3 linked regions of the Mytilus edulis genome follow. The main gene of each other region encodes a partner of the protein of the gene in region 2 in a complex. Links are inferred from orthologs where the notes say so. Each region holds a gene or a part of one and is shown on either strand. Other genes may lie near its edges.

The links.
Region 1: SNW domain-containing protein 1-like (region 2) and probable small nuclear ribonucleoprotein Sm D1 share a complex: the UniProt entries of both Homo sapiens proteins name them as parts of the minor spliceosome. The link is inferred for Mytilus edulis from reciprocal best matches to the Homo sapiens genes SNW1 and SNRPD1.
Region 3: SNW domain-containing protein 1-like (region 2) and armadillo repeat-containing protein 7-like share a complex: the UniProt entries of both Homo sapiens proteins name them as parts of the minor spliceosome. The link is inferred for Mytilus edulis from reciprocal best matches to the Homo sapiens genes SNW1 and ARMC7.

Annotation. Positions count from the first base shown.
Region 1 is NC_092348.1:3,033,211-3,040,605, reverse strand, and holds probable small nuclear ribonucleoprotein Sm D1, read right to left. Parts: upstream 3,278-7,395; 5' UTR 3,156-3,277; coding exon 3,142-3,155; intron 1,951-3,141; coding exon 1,874-1,950; intron 1,364-1,873; coding exon 1,163-1,363; intron 554-1,162; coding exon 450-553; 3' UTR 96-449; downstream 1-95. UniProt on the Homo sapiens protein: Plays a role in pre-mRNA splicing as a core component of the spliceosomal U1, U2, U4 and U5 small nuclear ribonucleoproteins (snRNPs), the building blocks of the spliceosome.
Region 2 is NC_092346.1:18,106,645-18,113,810, forward strand, and holds the start of SNW domain-containing protein 1-like, read right to left. Parts: upstream 3,065-7,166; 5' UTR 2,981-3,064; coding exon 2,961-2,980; intron 509-2,960; coding exon 439-508; intron 1-438. Other genes in the region: aarF domain-containing protein kinase 1-like, read left to right, coding at 5,627-5,767. UniProt on the Homo sapiens protein: Involved in pre-mRNA splicing as component of the spliceosome. As a component of the minor spliceosome, involved in the splicing of U12-type introns in pre-mRNAs.
Region 3 is NC_092344.1:113,818,710-113,826,816, forward strand, and holds the start of armadillo repeat-containing protein 7-like, read left to right. Parts: upstream 1-4,830; 5' UTR 4,831-4,908; exon of another isoform or gene 4,909-4,924; intron 4,925-4,936; exon of another isoform or gene 4,937-4,970; intron 4,971-8,107. Other genes in the region: 5'-AMP-activated protein kinase catalytic subunit alpha-2-like, read right to left, coding at 852-945, 3,357-3,498, 4,519-4,615. UniProt on the Homo sapiens protein: As a component of the minor spliceosome, involved in the splicing of U12-type introns in pre-mRNAs.

The DNA.
Region 1 (7,395 bases), on a different chromosome or scaffold from region 2:
CAAAACTAACATGATCAGTAGAAGCAAGATGTATATTAATATCATATACATTTACATTTACATTTGTAGTTCAAAGGCAATGAGGCAAAACATAATTTTGAAATAATTTTTTTTATTTTGTTTTATTTCTGTACAAAAATGACGACGAAGATGAAACATGATGTGACATTAAAAATGAAAAGAATGTACATGATTAAAATATGTCCATGTGGAATTGCTTCATGTCTTTCGTACTTATCTTCATCTGTTTATTTCCTGATTTTGAGAATACTTGAAAAAATTTCACAAAAGAATAGTGTTTCTTCATGTCTGCATGTTATCAGGAATATTATAACAAAAGAATAAAAGAAAGTTACAACATAATTTTTTGCTGTTGGTCAAAAAACAATATATAGCTGTAGATTTCCTTTCTACTTTCACTTTGTCTTTGATTTTACACATAAAAGAGTTTATCGTCTTCCTCTTGGTGGCCCTCGTCCACGACCTCTCATTCCACCACCACCACCACCTCTACCGCCACGACCACCACGTCCTCCTCTACCTCCTCGGCCACCTGAAATAAAAATATAATTTGAGTCAAATGTGACAGCATTACAATGTTCAAAACCATATTGTAACAAGGTAGCAAATAATCAAGAGAGCCAATTGAAAAAGCATTAAGTTCACAAACCACATTGTAGATTTCACAAAATTAATTAACCTTCTATCTAATTTCAATGATCCTGTTTTGACGCTTATTGGAAAACTCTTTATATTAACCTTATAATGTATTATAACAATCCCAATTTCAATTTTTTATAATTCGATGATAACAAACGTTTTTTTTATTTACAGGTATATTTTAATAACTTTGTGGGAATTGCAAACCATATCAAAACTTTTACCACCATGACAACTGCTAGTATGATTTCTACCATACTAATAAATAATAATTGTCACTGTCTGAAAAGTGTTTCAACCTCACTGTTATTATTAATAATAGTACTAATGTATTTCATAAAAAGAAACTAGTACAAGAGTTTTTTTGTGTGTTTGTACGATTTTCAACTATTTATTTGTGACTTTCAGAGATATTAATTTGTAAGTTGCTGTCTATTGACCATTTTCCCTATTTAATGGTGAAAGTGATGGACCTAAAAAACATAAAATGTTGATTACTTACCCCTATCCCTTCCACCTCTAAATCCACCACGTCCTTTAGGTGTGTCGTCAATCAATAATGTGTCAAGTGGCAAACTGTCAGGTAAGATGTAATATCGGATATTGTTACCACGGATACTAAGTGTGTCCAGCTGTACTGGGTCTTTGTTTTTAACTGTCATCTTTACAGATTTCAAATGGGTATTCATACTGACATCAACCCCTACAAATATAATCATCTTTCAATGTTAAAATTCATTTATATAATTGTGCATTGTTTTTTTAGTCATAAAGGAATTTTATATAAGCTTTATTCGATGTGACTATTGTTCGTATTATGAATAAGACCAAATTAAATAATATGTATTTGATATTCAATAAACTAATAGTATATAAACACAAGCTCTACTGTCTCAGGTTTTAAATCCAGTGAATAACAAAATATATACATTTGTACACACATACAGTCATTAAAAGAGCACAATTTTAAACATAAGATACCATAAATGACATATAAAAGTTAAAAGCATAGTATGCAAAATGGGTTTATAACCAGTTATCTTTTTAGTGAAATCTGACAACTCAATATCCGACTAAAACATTAACCAAAATACAGTACAATTTGTAACTTGCTCTGAATAATGGTCTCCATCTGCAAAAAAAATAGGTACAGTGCTGTTGCAAAGTATCCAAGGCAGGGATTTTTTATCGAAGTTTTGCAATTAGACAATACCTGTTACTGTTCCATGGACCTGTGTTCCATTCTTTAGTTCAATAGTGACTGTCTCGTGGGACAATTTCATCAAAAATCTGTAAAACAAAATCAAAATTGTCAAGACTCATGATCATCTCACAAATTAAAGCTCTACTTTATTTTGCGAAATGTTTTACATGTTTGGCTTTTCAAATTTATATAACAGTATGTACCTGATGTCAGCTTATTTAATTCCAGTAACATTGGTCAATATATGTTGGTACCCAATACCAATTTTATGAGTATTTTCCCCAACCTGTATTATAAAAAAGTCAATGAAGTCTGCAAGGCAAATACAGAACATACGTCTTCAATTCTATTCCCAGAAACTCAAAGGATGGATGTCAGAATCATGCATAGCTAAACATGTAGACCTCCCCCGTTTTTGCTCTTGATAAAGTACATGCAATTCCCTTTGTTTTGTTTTAATAGTATTTGATTTGCCTATACCATGTTTACCAAATGTCAAAATGCCGAAATCGATGGGTCACTGTGAAAACTGTCTAATAATGAGAAAATAAAGGTTGGCAGGTAAGTGAAACTTACATAAATGAAGAGATAAATGAAAAATGAACAGATTGATGCCCGATTTATATAATTCCAAGGCCGTCAGTCAGCACCAGAAGCGACGAAGCAGCGCATCTATTTTGGGTGGGAAAATATCCACTTTTTGATATGGGACGAGCTCTGACGTCCCACGGCCCCAGCTTGTCTGGCAAAACAGCCGTTGGACGTCAGAGTAATCTCGGACTACTTGTGTTATATAAAGGTATATACGAGTGCCTGTGCTTGGAGGGCTCCGGATCAGGAAAAGGATTCAAAATCAGATACATGTATATATCTTGTACATTGAATTAACTTGTAAATTGTTTGTCAATCAAGACAAGATTGAAGCAACAAAAATGGGGGAAGAAGCGCCTCTGTCAAATATATTTTTCTCGTATCATAGCTGAAAACAGGTTTAAAAATATGCAAACATTCTAGACTGAAGAGGTGAATTTATGCATCTAATGGAAAGGGCTTCCAGTGCAGAAAATACTGCGTTCCGTCATATCAGAAACTATGTCACAGAGGGATGAATTCCATATAAATTGTTCAATATATTTGATAAAGACTTAGCGTGGGGCACTCGTCATTTTAATTGGAGTTTTCTTAATGAATGTTTGCAACAATCCACAAAATAACGATATTATTGCACCTTCCCTTCATTCATCTATATAAATTCCAATTATTGGAATTGCTATTACCTCACAAGCTTCATGATTACATGGATTTGTATACCATGTACAGGAAAAAATATTAATAATGGCGGCAACCGGCTCGTCTTGTTTACGTATGAACTAAACGCTTGACCGAGTGCCTATTTTGGTCTTGAGATAAAACATAACAACGACCTGCTGAAAGTTTTTAGCGACTGGTACTAAATGGTTTTCCCTTCCTGTTACCCTTTTGGGCAAAATATTAGCTTTTTAAAAAAGCCGACAAGATTGAATTAATTACTATCCATTTCTTGTTTCTCTTACCATTGTAAGGATTGATGTAAATATATAATAACGAACTAATCAATCATCACTCACACATTAAAGGAGTCGATTGGAGTTTATGATTTTACAATTGGCCTATTCAGAGACCAATGTGTTTGGCATAATTTAACAGCGACATATATAAGAAAGGGGACAATAAGGGGTCCGTTAACATGTTAACTACATCTCAATTTTGGCAAAAACAGTTAACAACAAAACAACAAATTCAAAAATGTTGATTAACACAGTGGGTTGAAAACAGTTAACAGTTTAAATTCATTTCAGATAACAGTTTTAAAACAACACCTTGAAAAAGGCCAAAACAGGTTTATAAATATCAAAAGGTTACATGATAACCCCCCCCCCCCCCCCTCTTGATAACATTATTTAAATTTTCAATTCATGAAACTTGGTACTTTAAATTATAGAATCAGCTGTCATAACATTCCAGACTAGTGGAGACAAATTGAACTGAACAGTTTACAAAAAATATTGTTAGCCTTGAAATACTGTCAAATAGAAAATAAAAGAATACAAAAAAATACTCCAAAAAAGAAACAGAAAAAACGGTCATTGTCTTATGTGTATTATTTTGTTTCAAATCCTGATTCTACAATTACCATAACAAAAAGATTATTTCTTCCATTGGGGACTCACTCCATTGTCTTAGATGTCTATATGGTGGTTCTCGTTCTCAGTTTAGTCTACTGGTGTCAGTAATACATAAAGAGAAGACAAGAAAAGAAAAGAGAACAAAAGAGAAGAGAACAAAAGAAAAGAAAAGAAAAGAAAAGAAAGGGAAAAAAATATGAGTCACTGCCCTAGTTTCTCAGGCTAAGTGATAACTCGCGGTACCTTAATTTTTAGGTATCAGGATTTGGGCTTGCTAGATCAAATCTCCTAAAACTCCTAAAATGATCTAAGATCATATAAATATGTGCTGTTCTTTCGTTGGTATCTTTTGTTGTTTGTGACAGAGGTGTTTTCACATCCGTGTCTGGGTGTTCAATGTGTTCAACTGTTTAATAATTTCTTTTCTTCCTGTTAGTATCAATGCATGTCTTGGTTAATTAAGTCACAAGTTTTGCAATATGTAGTGTTAGGGATTGATCTATTTGATGGCGATATTTATTTATCCTATCATAGTCCATTATTAGTTCAGAATAAGATAATGATATAATAATAGAAAAAATAAAGGATTTGGGGTATCCATCCATGACACAAAATCAGTATAGCAAATAAACAGCGCTCTTGTTGCTGTTTTCATCTCAAAGTCACACCGAGGCCTTCAACTAGAAGCATCATATACCCCTCTCACCTCACTGCGGCAAGTTTTTTTTTGTTTTATTTTCAACTTCAGATACTTTAAATTTATTTCACTAATAGTTGTTAACAGGGCTTCTTAATGTTACAACAATCGCACTAAGGTTCTTCCCGCTGTATCGTTAACTTGATGCGGCAAGTTTATAACGGTCCCTAGTACCAGTCTGAGCGGAATGATACATAGCAGACATACCCCTGGTATATTGGTACTTCTCCGGCTTAATAGCTGTTGAAATGTGAATGTTGCTTCATGTATGATGTATTCCTATACATTATATATATGTGTATTAATATGGACTGCAAGTGTATATGAACCTCTATATATACATCACATTAAACGGGGTAAACAGTGTCAACCATGTCGAATTCAAATGCTGCATGGCGTCCAGATATTTCTGAAGGCTATTATTGTCTTTTGAACTTCTTTTGCAGGACGTAAAATGGTATACTGTTGTCCGTATGTCCGTCAGTTCTTAGTCAGAATATGGGTCAATAACTCAAAACCGCTTTAAATAACCAATTTTCATGAAACTTTATATCCATTGACGTAATCTTCCATTCGATTTTAATCATTTTAGATTTTATGTTCCCAAGTAAAGGGATTTTATTCGCAAAAAAGGTGATTTTCCAGTTTTCGGACAACAACTGAAAAAAGCTTCGAACAGTTTTCATAAAACTTTGGTGACTGGTTTATATTTATCAAGAAATGCTCCCTTTATGTTTTTTTTATTTTATTATAAATTTCTTTTATGACATTGAGGAGAAATAGAACTGTATTCGTTGAAACACCGTAAGTAACAGTGGCAGATCCAGAACTTTTATAAAAGGGGGGGGGTAAGTAAATTTTATTTAGAGTCGGGCATGATATAAACAATTCAACAAGGTAAACATGAGCTCTGTAGAGCTATTTACCGACAGGCGACGTATCATCATGCGCACATGAATGGCGCAGTTCTTTATTTATTATTTGGAATTACCTGGCCTTTACATGATCTATATGATGCAACTACCTAAGGAGAGCAGTTATAGCATATAGCAGGAATAAATGGAAAACTCGACTTTTATTTAAGGTACTTCTAAAAATTCGCAGTTGCGATCTAATTAAAATATCGATATCTGATTACGTTAAACTACATATGAGAATCGTAATCAGAGATCTATATTTTACTGATTAAATTGTCGATGTTGCTTATTTTAAGAAAGAAAGTGTATTTTCAGATTGGAAGCTGACTACCCACTTCATATCTTTTCATCTTTTGACAGCAATTAACAGTCGCATTTGCTAATTAAACACGAGATTGTCAGGGACGTGGCTATATACAAAGCTTTGGAAAAGCCGAACTTTTAAATCTAGTCCCATGTGTTCATCATTACAAGAGTTCATCTGCTAAGTAATGAATTTAGCCAGCGCTCACATGATCTTTCCTTGCTAAGTAATATGCCAGGGTTGAGTTCAATATCGTAGCAGCTACGTAGCGGCTACGTATATATGTAGCTGCATGCTATCAATATATATGTAGCAGCTAGTCTATAGCTACACATTCAATAATCAAAATATACTACGTAGCAGCTACGATATTGAACGCGGCCCATGGTATTTGATTATCTATAAAATATCGTTGGATTTCAGTTGCCGGATGATGATAACATGCGTGAAATGCTCCGTGTAGTACTGTCACCAAGAGGTACCTCAATATCACGTAAACTTTAATTCTCCATGCACTGGTATGGCTTTTACATTTAGTTCTGAGAATTGCAGATACTTTAGATTGACTTTAGTATTGGTAGTTTAAAAGTCATCACAAATAAAGCCTAATAAGTTGAAATAAACTACAAACGCTATTGATAAAAAGAAAAGAAAACTAGAATTGCCATTGCAAGCAATAGCGGATGTCACCCTTCCCCTATTGCCACTAAGCGGCAACCATTTGAAAACAATTTAACAGTGAATGCAGATCAACGCATTGCGATATATCTTTCTGTAAATTTTCAGTACATTTTGAGCATTGTCAAAAGTTTCACATTTCTTCTGTTTCCATGGCAACGGCAGCCATTTTGAAAATTCCGAAGTCAAAAGTCTCATTTATACATGCCAGTTGACAATAATATTAAGTTTCATTAAGTTTGGAGCATTTTGAAAATATTTGACATTTCTGCAGTTTCCATGGCAACGGTGGCCATTTTGGAAATTCCAACTTCAAAAGTCTCATGTAGACTTGACAGTCAACAAATATAGTAAGTTTCATCAATTTTGGAGCATTTTGAAATTTTTGAAAATTTTGACATTTTGGCTGGTTTCTATGGTAACAGATACCATTCCAAATTTCTAATGGCAAATACCACATTGGTACATGGGAGGGAACATATATATACCATCAAAGTTTCAATGGATTTGACCTACCATTTTAAGAAAGTAAATGCCACTTTAAGGTTTTTGAAGCATTTTCACCATTTTTGACTTGTTTCCATGGTAACGGCAGACATTTTTGAAATTCCAACGCCAAATTGCACATCTTCCAATGTCGCTCATCGTTACTGTGGAGTTTTATTAAATTTGGAGCATTTTGATATTTTGGAAATTTTTGGTGTAGTTTCCATGGCAACATGATAGTTCCAATGATTGCCAAAATCATCTAAAACCAGTATATGCCCGAC
Region 2 (7,166 bases):
AACTCTAACAGGGACCCATTTCAGCTACTTGATGCAGGGATCTATTTTTAGAAAGAAAGGAAATTTCCAATTATAAATATTATAAAAAATAAAAATAGTTTACACGACGACTGTAAACAGATAAGGGTAAACAACGCAAATGGTTGCCAATAAAAGGGTGGAGAACTCATGGTTTTGGAATATAATGGGTTTTCCTTTGAATTAATTGGGTTATTGAACCCTGCAATGGGCAATTGCATTGGGTTTTTTATTATTTGTATTGCGTGATCACGCAAATACGCAGCTTATCTGGAGCTCTGACTGTTTCAAATTTCATTTGAATAAAATATATAAGAAACTCAGAAGGCACAGTCAAATCAATATTTCATTTACAACTTATCTAACAATATAAGCCATGTGAATCTGATTTTCTATGATGAATGTGTTCCTTGTTTGTACCTGCATTTGTTGTCTAAATGACCTATCTTCATCTTCTCTGTCATATCTTTGCACCGGTGAAGGCAATATACTGAAATGAAAATAAGTTTAAATAAAGATGTTCTTTTACTGTTAGGCCACACTTAAAAAATATTTTGGTTTGCCCAAACCCTACCTAAAGGTAAAAACAGTAGGAAGTTGGTAGGAAGGCATTTTCTTTTCTTATTTTTGGCAAAGAGAAATTGAAGTGTCAGATGTCTTTTACTCTTCATGCATATCAGAATGTTCAGTAAAAGATTTTGAGTATGCAGATATTTTCTGGGTAGGTAAGGTTAGGGCAAACAAACATTTTATTTTGTATGGCCTAATAGAAAGAAGCAACAATTGTAGGGAAAAGAGCACCCAATTATTTTTTTAAACACTTGAAAACAAATGAATTTAAACTTATATCCGTCAGGAAATCTGTTACATTCATTTTTATTTTTGTTTACATAAATAAAGCAGTTACATGTAGTTTTCTATTTGAATTGTTTTACATTTGTCATTTGAGAGCCGTTTCTAGCTAACTATGCAGTATGGGCTTTGCTCATTGTTGAAGGCTGTATGGTGACTGTAGTCAATTTCTGTGCTTTCTGTCTCTAAAGAATTGTCTTATTTGGAATCATACCACATCTTTTTTTTTTGACATAAATCATTTGAAGGCAAAATAACAGTGACTGTCATGACTGTCATACACAGTCACATGTATAACTGATTTGTGTATCAATCATAAATCTGAAATCAGTATATATACTAGGGCAATGATTCAATGACCAGCTTACAGTTGTATGCCACCTTACATTTGATAAATGGGTCAATTGAGATCAATGTGTCCCCTCACCTCCCAATGGGGGGGCTGCTGACTGACCTTAAAGGGAGTGCCTGCTGACTGACCTAAAGGGGGGCACTCCAGTCATGCTTCAGTGTTTCCCTATATAATCAACAAATTTTTTCCCATGAAAAGGGGGGCAGGCTGCCCATGCCCCAATTTTTAAATTTTTTTCTTGTATGAATCGAGGATATGCAAGGTTTTATTTGCCCTTGAAATCCCGGCAATTTTTATTGTAAAATCATGCAGTAGAAGGAAAATTGGAGGACAATAAAAACAAATATTTTGACAAATATGCAAATGGCGTAAATTGGAAAACGAAGCTGTAAATATGGATATATTTCAGCATTTCTATGGTGAAACTGACAACGAGGATTAGTTAAAAGGTTTCTTGTTATCTCAATGTGTTTATTACAATAAATTTGTGTAGGAAATATGAATTGATCGATCATTACGAGACGTAGAAAAAGGGGGGAAAACGGAGGTTGACTGAAAATTTTGAGGACGGAGCCACTGATTTGTGCCACGATTACATAATACCTTGTGTATGGTGCAATACGCTACGGAATCGAGCAATTGGTGTCTTCTTTATTATATGGCAGATAAAACAACAAAATAGATGAAGACGAAATTAGTTTTTTATTCAAAATTCAACACAAATGTAATAAATTACACCTTTTACCTGGTAATTACCTGAAAATGCAGGTAACCTGATAAAAATTTTACTGAAATAACTGCCTAACATTACAGTTCATACTCTCCTGAGCATTTTTCATACAATAACTTTCTCTGTATCTCTTATAATAAAAAAGATACAGCAGTCTGAAAAGAAATATACTGTTCTAATGAATGAACACAAGTCACAAAAAAATGCAGCAGCAGCAGCCATTTTTCTATTTCTTTGTGTAGCGTTGAAAGGGTTAATCAACTGAGCTGGGGAATCGATTCTTTGGCTCAGTGGGTTAATGGATCAAATTTCCAATATTCAAAAAACTATTCCTTTATTCTAATACACCTTATCGCCATTTGTCCGCCATTACTGGATATCACACAGGTTACCGTAAAATTTTGACGTCATAAAGCAAAATATCTGACGCCACAATGGAAAAGTGATTGTTGTTGACATCAAAAGTTCAAGCGGCCGGGTCAGCCGGGATAAGCAATAAGGTGTATTATTATTCTGAATCTGATGACATTAAATTATAAAACCCAAGGTGGGTACACGTAGCCTAGACATAAGACATAAAACTTTAATTAGAGTCGGTATAGATGCATTACAAGTACAACTGTACAAAAATAAACTCTGCAGAGCTTTTAAAACCGAAGAGCCTACGAAGACGAATAATTGGCTATGCGTCCCCCTTATGTATATGAGAAAAAAATAAAGTTATTAGCAAGTGTGGATTATATGAAATAAGCGCAATTTTGAAGGTAACAAAAAAAAAGGTTGTTAATTTTAAGAATACACATAAAATAAAGTACCGCTCATCACCCATTCAGACCCTCGTAATGTTCAAAGACCGGTTCTGTCGCGTGTTTTATTAGTTTGGAGCTGAGTAGGGCCTGAAAGTGCAGATTTTTACAAAATTTGGTTAACTTTTTATTTATTTGACATTTTGCGATAATTGTATTGACCATTATTAGATGTATATTGTAAAAACAATTTGGAACTTACTCCACAAGTTTCATCGCCATCTTGTTTGTCGATATTACGTATTTATTCCCTCCCTTTACCTTCTTTTCGAAAACAACGAAAAAGTCAGTCACTCATTCGGAATTCACTATGACTTTTCGTTCGTTGTGTGTAAATGATCATGAGGATTGAGGATTATGAAACAGACGATCTAGAACTAAGAAAGACAAGGGTATGGACACTGACGTTTATTTTGTCACTTCAAAATTTATATATCCCGAACCTGTATCATACTATAAATAGCAAGCTATTGGACCCAATTTCGAAGATATTTCAATGAGAAATTCAAGACAGTTCTTGAATCAGCTTCAGATTTGACCTTTGACTTTGTTATATTTTTATGTTCATTGATTCATTTGCATAGTGATCCATAGTCCAAATAATTATGACGTCTTGAAAGGCTATTATAATTTTTTTCTTTGACGCCTTAATTCGACAGGCTATTATAGTTTTTTTTCTTTGACGCCTTACGCTAGGGCGCTAGCCTTTCAAGGCTTCATAATTATTTGGACTGTCATTGGCATTGCATAAACAGTGGGTCTCATTGGGGTCTTAGCGTGAAGTGGGATTGCTGATTTTTTGTAAGCATGACACGTGTCAAATTATTGTGCCATGAAAACGGGAAATGAAATCTGGCGGTACATGGGAAATTCCAAAAAGTGAGAATTGCTTACGTACATAGTGTAAGCGGGATATGGGAATCTGACAAAACAGTAAGCGGGATCTGGGATCAGAATCCCCCATTGAGACCCCCTTAAAAGAGTCTTCATTTAGATGAAGAAAAAAAATCACTGTATTTTTTAACAAATAACATCAACACAATTTTAGGAATAAATGATTCAGTTTGTCAACAGATCAAAATATGAGTGAAAAAAATAGAACGACTGTATACATACATCTTATCGCTATTTATCTGCCATTAATGAATATCACACAGGTTCCCGTAAAATTTTGACGTCATAAAACAAAATATCTGACGCCACAATGGAAAAGTGATTGTTGTATGCGTCAAAAGTTCAAATGGCCGGGTCAGCCGGGATTAGTGATAAGGTGTATTGTCCTTTCACCTTGGTTTCTGTTCCCACTGAGAAGCTAGGCTCCAGGTCATTTTGAAATGAATTGCTTCGCCCTAGGTCATTTCGCACTAGACACTGCCAGAGTGGTTTTGAAAATATATTTACATACATGTATCAGATATCGACACGATTTTCGAAATAAATTAAGTGCAATTTTACCGTAAATTTACTGTTGCAATAACTATAGAATAACTAATCGAAGAATTCATATATAGAGAAAAATATTCAATGAGTGACCAATCAACACATTTTTGATTGGATGTGACTTACCTAAAAGATGCTTTTTGTATAATTTTCCATTTAAAATGGACTTTAATTTCTTGTGTTGAATAATTTATTTTATATTTTGGTTTTTTAAATACATTTCATATCCTTGACTTTTGATTAACATGTTTTAGTATGAAATCAGTTTGAAATCTGAGTTTGGACACTGAGTGACAGTTGAATCTGTTACCTAATTTGTGACAATGTGCTTTTAAACATCGAATTAATCAATAGCACTAATGACAGTTACCAGTTTCAATCATTAGATAGATATATGAAGATGTGATGTGAGTGCCAATGAGACAACTCTCAATCCAAATAACAATTTATAAAAGTAAACCATTAAAGGTCAATGTATGGCCTTCATTACAGAGCCTTGGCTCACACCGAACAACAAGCTATAAAGGGCCCCAAAATTACTAGTGTAAAACCATTCAAACAGTGAATTGCCTTGATTGTCTCAGTCTGCGTCGTTAGCCACTAGTCTGATGCCCCAGACTAGTAAATATTGATTCGGACTAGTGGAAATTTTCAAAATTTTATATAGTCATATAGGTACAAGTTTTCATATTTAGTTTCCGGACTAGTAGATGAAAAAGTTTTTGGCACAGACTGTATTAAATGTCTTGAACCATCCCATAAGTTGCAAATGACATTGTATATATAGAGATTTTTTAACTTTAGCTCATCTAAGACCTGTGCATTTGAGCAAAAAAAAAAATTATCATTTTGTTCATATGAAATATAATTATCTAATGCATCATAACAATAAGATGTGAAATGATAACTGACGAGACAACTATCCTAAACAAACCAAAAGACATAGATGTAAGCAACTATAGATCACTGTATGGCCTTCAACAATGAGCAAAACCCATAACATATAGCTATGTAGCTTAGAAAGTAGAAAAGTACTGACATAACAATGTAAAAACTATTCAAATGGGAACAGCCTAATTAAGGTACAAAACAATATTTCATTGAAAAAGAAAAAAAAAATATTAGTTTAAACATATTTATTTACATTTGGAAACAAGTTATTGCAACTTATATTAATCCCTTTCCACTTTGCAGGTGTGAGTGCAGCCTTGTAGTATGTACAATGAGTCTCTGAAATTATCTCTAGAATGGGGATTGAACCAGGAACCTTTGTGTTAGTATTCTGATGCGCTAACCACTACAACACAGCTCTCCTAAAAACTAATAACCAAATATGATAAACACCAACCAACTACAACATATACAACCACTGAATATCCACTAAAATACAATTTTGACTTGGGACTTATTTTTTTCAGATCGTGTAGAATGAGTAGACACCTCCTCAAGAAAACCTTGAAATATCTGACTGTTGGAGGACTAGGAACAGGGTCAGGCTATTTTCTGTATAAAAATGATTGGGAGGTTTCTACCATTGGAGTAGTAAGATTTGGACGTGCAGCTTTTACAGTAGGTATTTTAATCAAATATTGGTTAGAATTAAAATCACAGTTGTTTAATTAGGTCTTTCCACTTTTCTGTGGAAAGAACTATTGTATTTGTTCTGATTATTTATTTTTGTTCCAGCCAAATTTTGTTCTTGCGATAAATGTTTGTTTCGCAATATGTCGCTTAGATATTTCTCATATTGTATCGTATAGTTTATGTGCTTTTAAATTTCACCCTGCTAAACTGAACCATTTTCTTTGTAAGAGTTATCTCCCTATTCACTGTTTATCATCAGAGTGCATCTCCTTCGTAACAAAAAAAGATATTGACAAAATTTCTTTTACAAATTGTTCGTTACAGCCTCAGGAATTTTTAGCTAATTTGAATCGAAGCGATTCGATGAACTTTTATATGAGTTATCTACCTTTACGAAATAAATTTGTCGGTATGTGTTATTAACTTATAAACCATTTACCCTATAACCCTGGAAAGTTTTTATTTGAGGCCCCTACGTCCTTACTTAGAAAGGTCAAGGTCAAGTTCTCAATTGTGACTTTTCCTTGTTTTTGCATTTTCTCCAACACTTTAAAAGATATGAATAAAAGAACAAGTGCATAATGATTGCTTTATGGTAATGAAGATATGTTACATTTGGTCTGATACAATCTCATGGCATCTTATAAGAATTAGTGCCCCTGAAATGTCTAATTATAAGGTTAATTGATTATTACTTCAACTTGGTTCATTATAAAGCCAAATGACCTTTAACAAAAGGTTGGGTGACATATGACCTTGAAAATTGACAACCGGAAGTGACATTGAAAAAAACCGGAAGTAACCTTTTTTGCACTTTTTCATGAAAAATTACTCTGAATCCATATATTTTGTAATTTTGATACCTTTTCTTATCACTTAAAACTTAAACTGACTTTTGATAAGCGGGAAGTGGTCAATTATTCCTGGTTTACAAACAAAAGTATTAGAAACTATATATTTTTGGAATCAGTGTGAAAGAAGCTATCATATGAGACTGGAAGTGACATTTACTTCACCGGAAGTAGCACATTATCTCCCTTATTTCCCATCAAAGTATATAGAAAACCATTATTTATTCAATCAGTATGAAGAAACTTATGATTGGATGCCATTTTTAACTTTCAGTTAACAGGAACTACAAATGTACCGTACCTTCTTTTCAACAATTATTTCAAATTAATTTATTGTGGAAAGACCTTCAATTGTTCTCTGAACAATTGGTTTTTAATTTATATTATTTTGTATCATCAGAGCATATATTTTCATAAGCACTTAAGACTGTAAATTACCTAACAAAGATGAGAAATTGCCTCGTCCCAGACAAGATAATATTTTTTGAATGAGTACAAGGTCCTTGCATCCTTTATCAACCATTAGAAAATGA
Region 3 (8,107 bases), on a different chromosome or scaffold from region 2:
ATTTTGACAGAATAAACAAACATTGTGTGATTTGAGTCTACAGATGCAGTGTTATAATACCCATTCCAGTTATAATTCTGTGGTTAGATTATTTTACATGTGTATTATTAGAGTGGCACACAAGTTTTAAATTACAGCAATCACCAAATCAAAGAATCAATCACAAGAGAACTTCAACAATCTATTACTCAAATGTTAAGATCAACAAAACACTGCTAACCTACATTTATAACATACCAATATTGAGGAAATTTTCTACTTTATAACAGCAGCATGTTCATTTGTATTTTGAAATTTCTACATACTGCTGTATAAATGTATGTACATGTACTGTATGTGTATTCTTCCATTGTATGATAAAAAATTGTAAATACTTAAATTTGTTCACAACTAGCCTAATTGGTGCAATTTTAAGAAAGGGGAGATAATCCTTAATATAAATACTTACTTTTCCATGTTTGACAATGTAATCAAACAATTCCCCTCCTCCCACATATTCCATCACCATGAATATGTCTGTAGGAGTACTTATCACCTGGTACCTGCCGGAAACAGGTCAAATTAGCAAACAATCCAGTGCTATTATATAATATCTACAGAATTTGTCTCAAAATGCTTTATAACTTCCAGAAATGACGGCAGATTATGTCTGCAATACATTTTATACATTGAATGTGACCAAAAATTTATTCTCACAAAATGGCCATGGTCTGATTTATAATTTGATTAAAAGCCATTTCAATTTTTAAGTGTCTTTCAAAATAATCAACATGGTTCAAGATGACCATGTTTGCTTCTGTAAGTTGAAAAAACATTTTGAGACAGTCTCCTATCTAGTGCTTTAGACTTACTTTGCCTTTCTTGACAATATAATCAAACAGTTCCCCGCCAGCCACGTACTCCATAACCATAAATATATCTGTAGGGGTACTCATCACTTGATACCTGAGGTTTTATTACGCAACAAAAATTAACCATCAAATTAAATACAACCAAAATTGGAGTCAAATCAGTATTTTTCTAATTTGACAAGAAAGTGTTTGAATAAAAAAATTTATCTACAAGTTTTAAATGAAAACTTTCCTGAATAAAATTAAGATTTAACATAAGAAGAAAGGCATGTAAAAGGATTTTAAGTCGACTTGAAAAACATAGTACACAAATACATGTATGTAAAAAAGTGTCTATTTCATATATATCATGTATATCTACATGTATAATTAACATGAATAAAATTGATACATATAAAACTTACATTTATTAACTAAATTTCTTATTATTCTCTCTGTAAATTAAAGTCTAAGACTCTATGGTCTCATAAAATACAACACAAAACAATTCAAGCGATTCCATCAAAGTAAGATTGTCTCAATGTCAAAGGCATCTAGGTAAAATTAATATTTAATTGGACTATCATATACATGTAGACAGGATAAGACAACTGATATACAAATGTCTAATTTTTAAATGGTCCCACTTTTGAAATTTTTCTCTGTATTTGCTTTAAACTAGCTAACTAAGTTGAATGATATCACCAAATATTTTGACCGAATAAATCCATGTACATGTATCAACTATCAAGTCATGTTTTTTTTATGATTGTTGCTCTTAATAGAAATTAAACAGAGATTTCAGAAATATATCTATAAATAGGTATTTGGAAGGCATCCCAAAATGGCAATAAGATTATCCCACATACCGGACTATTTCTTCCCACAAAATTTTGACATTTTACCATGATCATCATCAAAATTCAAAATACTTTACATGTACTTGGCTAAACAATTCATTACATCAACAAAGACTGGACTAAAATATTTGTTTTATATTCTAGGCAAACATGAATCAGACCAAAAATAGATATACCTTTTAATTCTAAAATATTTTTTTCTTAAATAATGTAACCAGATGACCTTGACACTTGAGCTTTGATTGATATCAAATAAGGTTGAAAAACAGAGCCAAAGTTTGGTGAAGACAGGAAAAGGAGAATCTACACTACTCACAATCATTCCAATGAAGTTACTTATAGATTGTTATTTGGATTTTTTTCAGGTATTTTGTACAGAGATGAGTTAACTGTAAGCATGGTAAGATATTCTCAATAATTAAAACAAGATGGCTGACAGGAACAGTGATCATATCTAAAAATAATATATATTTTTTTGTAACATATTTCAAAATGCAAAAAATGTACTGAAATTCAGTGAAACAATATAGATCAACAAAGCAAATAAAATGGACATTAAGTCTTTTCAAATTAAAGAACAGAGAAGTGGAGTTAGTTTGAAGAGATAAAATTGAATCAAGAGACTAACCATACACAGTAAAGGAAACATTACAATGTTGACATCAGCAATCATATAAAATTATGCTATTTCAAACAACTTTTTTCTATATCTAAGGTAAGAATGGATCACTATTAAGAATCCTGACCAACTTTAATGCTCTAAATTCTGCTTCCAGTTAAAAAAAAATCTTATTCATCTACTACATGTACATATATGTAACATATTTGGTGAAATAAACTCCACCTACTATCTTAGAAATGTGTAAATAAAATATAATATTGTCATCATAATTGATAATTACAATGTATATATATATATATATGTAAGTAGTCAAGACAATTTTGTAATTTATGGATCCAAAATGTGCAAACTTTCAAATCTTGCAACAAAATCAAATTAATATAATATCCTTTTTCAGAGAAGACAGATTTGAATCATCCAAGTCAGAGTGGATTCTATTAAGTGAATGGATTTCTATAAACATGATAAAAGAGGAAACAAGAAATATAGATAACTAAAGTACATGTATGTATCACATACATACAAAACATGTATATACACATGAACAAGAAATGGAGATAACTAAAGTATGAAACAAATGTATATACACTTAAACAAGATTTATTACATTGGTTATAGAGAAGTATAATCATTTTAATCAAGTAAAAATTGACTTTTGACATGTCACCAATAGGTGTTTTCTGGACATTGTTAAAGACTTTGCATCAAAACAAATTAAAAGGCATAGAAAAAGATATAATTGTTCTAAATATAAGAATTTGTAAACTGAATTTACATTAAAAGCCAATACAATAAAAAAGAAATAATAATCCAAGAATTCACAAATATCCTTAAACATTTAACTCTTGATGACCAATCAACACTGAATTTTGTGAATTTATGTTTTGTTCGAATTCTGATACTTTTCTAATATTTTTGACATTCAAATTCTCAGATTACCGGTATACATGTATATACATATACATGTATAAAAATTACAATGAATATATTCTAAAATTAAAAGTTAATTTAAGAATATAATATCATACAATGTTGGAGACTTACAATTTAATAATGTGTGGATGTCTAAACAGCTTGAGGTTTTGTATTTCTCTTTTGATCTTAGACACAACATCTAAACTTTTTATTTTGTTTCTGTTTAAAATCTTTACAGCCACCTTATGACTGGTGATATAATGTGTCGCAACTGAAAAGAAAACAAAGCATACTATCATGTGTGGTACAATGTATGAGGTATAAATTACAATGTCAATGAATGCGAAGCAACTGAAATCGACTCATTTTGTTACATGTACATTCATTGTTGTCAATATAATCACAATTGTATTTTTAATGTCATACAAGTGAGAGGTTTGGCTAGTTATACAACCAGATTTAATCTACCATTCATGTACATATGGAAATGGCTTTACCAAGTCCAGAATGTAACAGTTATGTTCTATTTGTTTGATGTGGTTAAGCTTTTGAATTTGCCATTAAATAAAGGACTTAGGTTCCTTTGTTTTTGAAACACTTGACACTTACAGGAATTTGTCTAAATGACTGGTTTTTTTCCAGACCAGACTAAATAGCCATAAGGTGTGTTAGATGACCAGTAAGGATTTGGCTGAGTAATGAAGTTGAAGTTAAGTGACTGTCAGACACAGCTGCAGTTAAGTCCAAACCATTATGACATCTTGAACATGTTGAAAGGCTTTTTTAAATTTGTGCTTTATCTTCAGGTAAGGGAGCTACCATTTGATTTTTAGGGGGGAGGGGGAGGAGCTAGGTCACGTAGGTGGAAAAATTCTTGTCCTGCTTTTATTTATTTATTTCTAGTTATTATAATCTCTGTCCTACATGTACCTTTTCATATTTCACATTAAGCCTTTCCTCAATGAATTTCTTTTTTGCATAATTTTTTCAATAAAAAAAAAATCATAGACTTAGTCCCCATTCACAGGTAATTCCTGCCTCATATTAGGGAAGAAGTGAGGATGCCCCAAAACGCACTAATGGCTTTCACAAATATCAACTTTTTAAAAGATGTGAAACAAACTAAGAATAACTCGTAGGTTAATTATCATTTAGACAAGGTTCCAGTTATTTTTAATAGGAATTCTGTGTATACAAATTATGTCAATGACCTTCACCTTCTGTATGCCATATTTATAACATTGGTTGACCTTTTTTTATGGCAATGTCTGTAATAAACAAAAACACATACTTTTGACCTTTCCAAATGTCCCAGTTCCTAGTGTTTCACCAAGAATGTAGTGGCCAATCTTCACCTGACCAGCAGTGGCTGGACTTTTCTCCGCCATTGCAGTTTTTGTGTGAAGCTGTTTGACTGTTTCCTCCGTCGACTGAAGTGTTTACTTGCAGATGGTGCTACTTAAGTTGTAGAGGAATTCTTATATATCTGTTCATAAGATCAACATCCAACGTTTCATTATCAGCTCGATTTAATTTCCTATCAGTCTTGTAAGGCTCGTCTTGTTGGGTCCTTTCAGTTTGTCAACAATATGTCACGTGATTTGTAAAACTTTCGGAAGTCTCTGGACTTTACGTAAACTCAGATTTCCAATGTTTATTTCCGGTTAAATAGAAAGTAAAAGTAAGACTATATTCATCTGAAAAAGGCAAATTTCAACAAAATCTTTTACATTGTAACAAACTGTTGGTTAAATTTTTTACAAAAGCTTTATTGAATTCGGTTATTGAAATAGTGGATACCACATCTCCTTATTTTCATTATTTGTTATGAGGCAGGCATTCTGTAATCTGTATAATAAATTCTGCCACTGCCAGTCAAGGCACACCTCCAATTATAGCTGGAGTGACATCCACCACCACGAATATATATATAATTATCGGTCGTCCCACTGTCAATATCACTCTGTTCAGCTCATAATATTATTCCGTATCATGTCTTTGTGACGTCAAATACGTTGACTCGGCCTTAATAACTTTGACCCGGACATATCAGCGACGTCATAATGTTTGAACCGACATTAATAACTTTGACCCGAACTTATCAAGTCATCTTTTGTGTGCTGGTGAAACAAAGAAAACACTTCCGAAACACGCAAATATAGCCCGATAAATCGATTATCAGATTATCTGCATATTTATATTGTAAAATATCAGCTGCTTGACATTATATGAAGGCTACGCTCACTCGACAAAAAGCTTCATATTATGTCTCGCAGCTGATATTTTACGATATCAACATGCAGATAACCTGATAATCGGTACATATCACACAAATAATGGTTCCATCCACTGGAATATTATATACACAAATATCAATTTATACTATACGCAATAGGCAATTTTAAAATCTAAAATTATCTAAATAAGAAGTGATAATAATTAATTTTACCTTAATCCAAATAATTATGACGTCTGGCAAGGCTAGGAAGGCGTCCCAGAAAAAAATTAAAATAGCCTTGCTAGACGTATGAAGGCGTCCCAGAAAAAAATTTAAATAGCATTGCCAGACGTCATGTAACACGAGGACGAAGTCCACTATTACAGTAGAAAATTCAATAGAAAAAAAAAAGAAAAAAAAAATCGGGAAAATTTCCCGAATTTTTCATTGTACTAATGAACTCAAAATCGTTCAATTTTTTTTTGTCGCGTTTTTTAATTTCCGGATTTGCGCAGAACACATAACTCTACTTCCTTTTTCCGGTCTTGTTGTCGTGAGACTTTGATTAGTCTAGTAAAATATAGGAACTCAATGAACACAATACCAATATTTCATTTTTAATCATTCTTTGTCTTTCAAATTGGTATGAATAAACGTTACCTGATGCATTGCATTTCTTTGTTTACATTGAACATGACGTCATAACTTAAATAACGTCACAAGTAAAATCCCTAACAACAGAACCAAAATCGGAAACGTTACGGTATTTCCGTTTCTTTTTGTAACAAATATTTAAGTTACAAAAAAATTAATTTAAACAAACTTCGTCCCCATTCACAGGTAATGCCTGCCTCATATTAATTATGACGTTAAAATAGCCTTGCCAGACATCATAATTATTTTGACTAGCATTACCTGTAAATGGGGACGAAGTCTGTATTCATGTTTTTTAAATCAAACATGTTAAAAAGAGAAACAGAAATACTGCAACGTTTCCGATTTTGGTTCTGTTGTTAGGGATTTTAGTTGTGATGTTATTTAAGTTATGATGTCATATTCAATGTAAACAAAGAAACGCTGTCATCAGATAACGTTCTTTTTTATAAAAAAACAATTTTTAGAAATGAATTAGTATTGAGTTCCTTTCTTAGACTGATAAATATACATTTTATTCAAAGTCTCATGCAAACAAGACCAGAAACGGAAGTAGATTTCTGCGCAGATCCGCAAAGGAGTAGGGGCAATAAGGCCCTTATTTGGCCCAAAATTTACTGCAAATTTAAAAGTTATCATACATATTTTTAAATTACTGAAAAGTATCTCAGGTAGAAGGAATTCAGAAAAACAAAATAGTTTTGGACATTGAACAAGTTATCATGGCAACAAGTCATGCCTTAATTTGCATATTTTGTAAAATTTTGTGATTTTCCTTGTTTTTCATCAAATTTTTAAGTATATTTTCGATTGGAAAAGTATGTGCGCACCCAAGAAACAACTTTATATTTGGTGAGATTTTGTCAATAGTAATAAAGCTTCAGTTAAATTATTTTGTTGTTTCTTGGCTGCGCACAATGTTTCCACAACAGAAATAAAGATGAAAAACTGCATAAATTCTGAATTTTCATCATTTTTGTGAAAACAGTACATATTATGACGTAATTGTGACGTCATCACATAAGAATCTTAATGTTTTTCATTTATGTTTCTTGACCCTATGCAATTCTAAAGATTATGTGCCAATTTGAAAAAGTTATCAAAAATTTTATTTTCTTGGGCCAAAACCAGGCCTTAATGCCCCTACTCCTTCAAAAACGCGACAACAAAAATTTTGAACGATTTTGAGTTCTTTGTGCAATGAAAAATTTGCGATTTTTTTTTTTTTTTTTTTTTTTTTTTAATTTTCTACTGAAATAGGGGACTATGTCCCCATATCACAGAGTTTCACTATCACTATCAGGCATGTGCTATCTGCTATAGATCTGTCAGATCAGCTTCTAGTCTACTCCAAATAATAATGACATCTTGCAATTCTATTTTATTTTTTTCTTGGACGCCTTCCTTTAAAAAGCCTTGCAAGACGTTATAATTATTTGGACTACTTTTAGTTTAAAAGTTTATGAAGTCTTGAAATGTGTTGCAACCATGTTTTGCATATTTGTTTTTTGTTCAATTTTTACATAAATTAGGCTGTTATTTTTATTGTTTGAATTATTTTACATTGTAATTTCGGGGCATTTTATAGCTGACTATGCGGTATGGGCTTTGCTCATAGTTGAAGGCCGTTAGGTGACCTGTAGTTGTTAATTTCTGTGTTGGGCTCTTGTGGAGAGTTGTCTAATTGGCAATCATACCACATCTTCTTTTTTATATTGAAAGTCTATTTTATTTTTTTGCTTTTATTGCCTCCTGCGTCATAGAAAGGAGTCAAAGCAAAAAAATATTAGCCTTCCAATTAAGACATCATAATTATTTGTACTTATCATCAGCTCCCATAGGTTATTACTTTTCAGTATGTTCAGACACAATGTCACATGATTTGTCCGTTTAAGGGACTCCCCTTTTGCTTTAATTCAAGAAAGTTACAGCATCTATTCTATTGTCACAGTGGTTGTCTGTTCTCCTCGAGTTCAGAATGATGTGTGTGTGTTTGAACCCCAGCTTA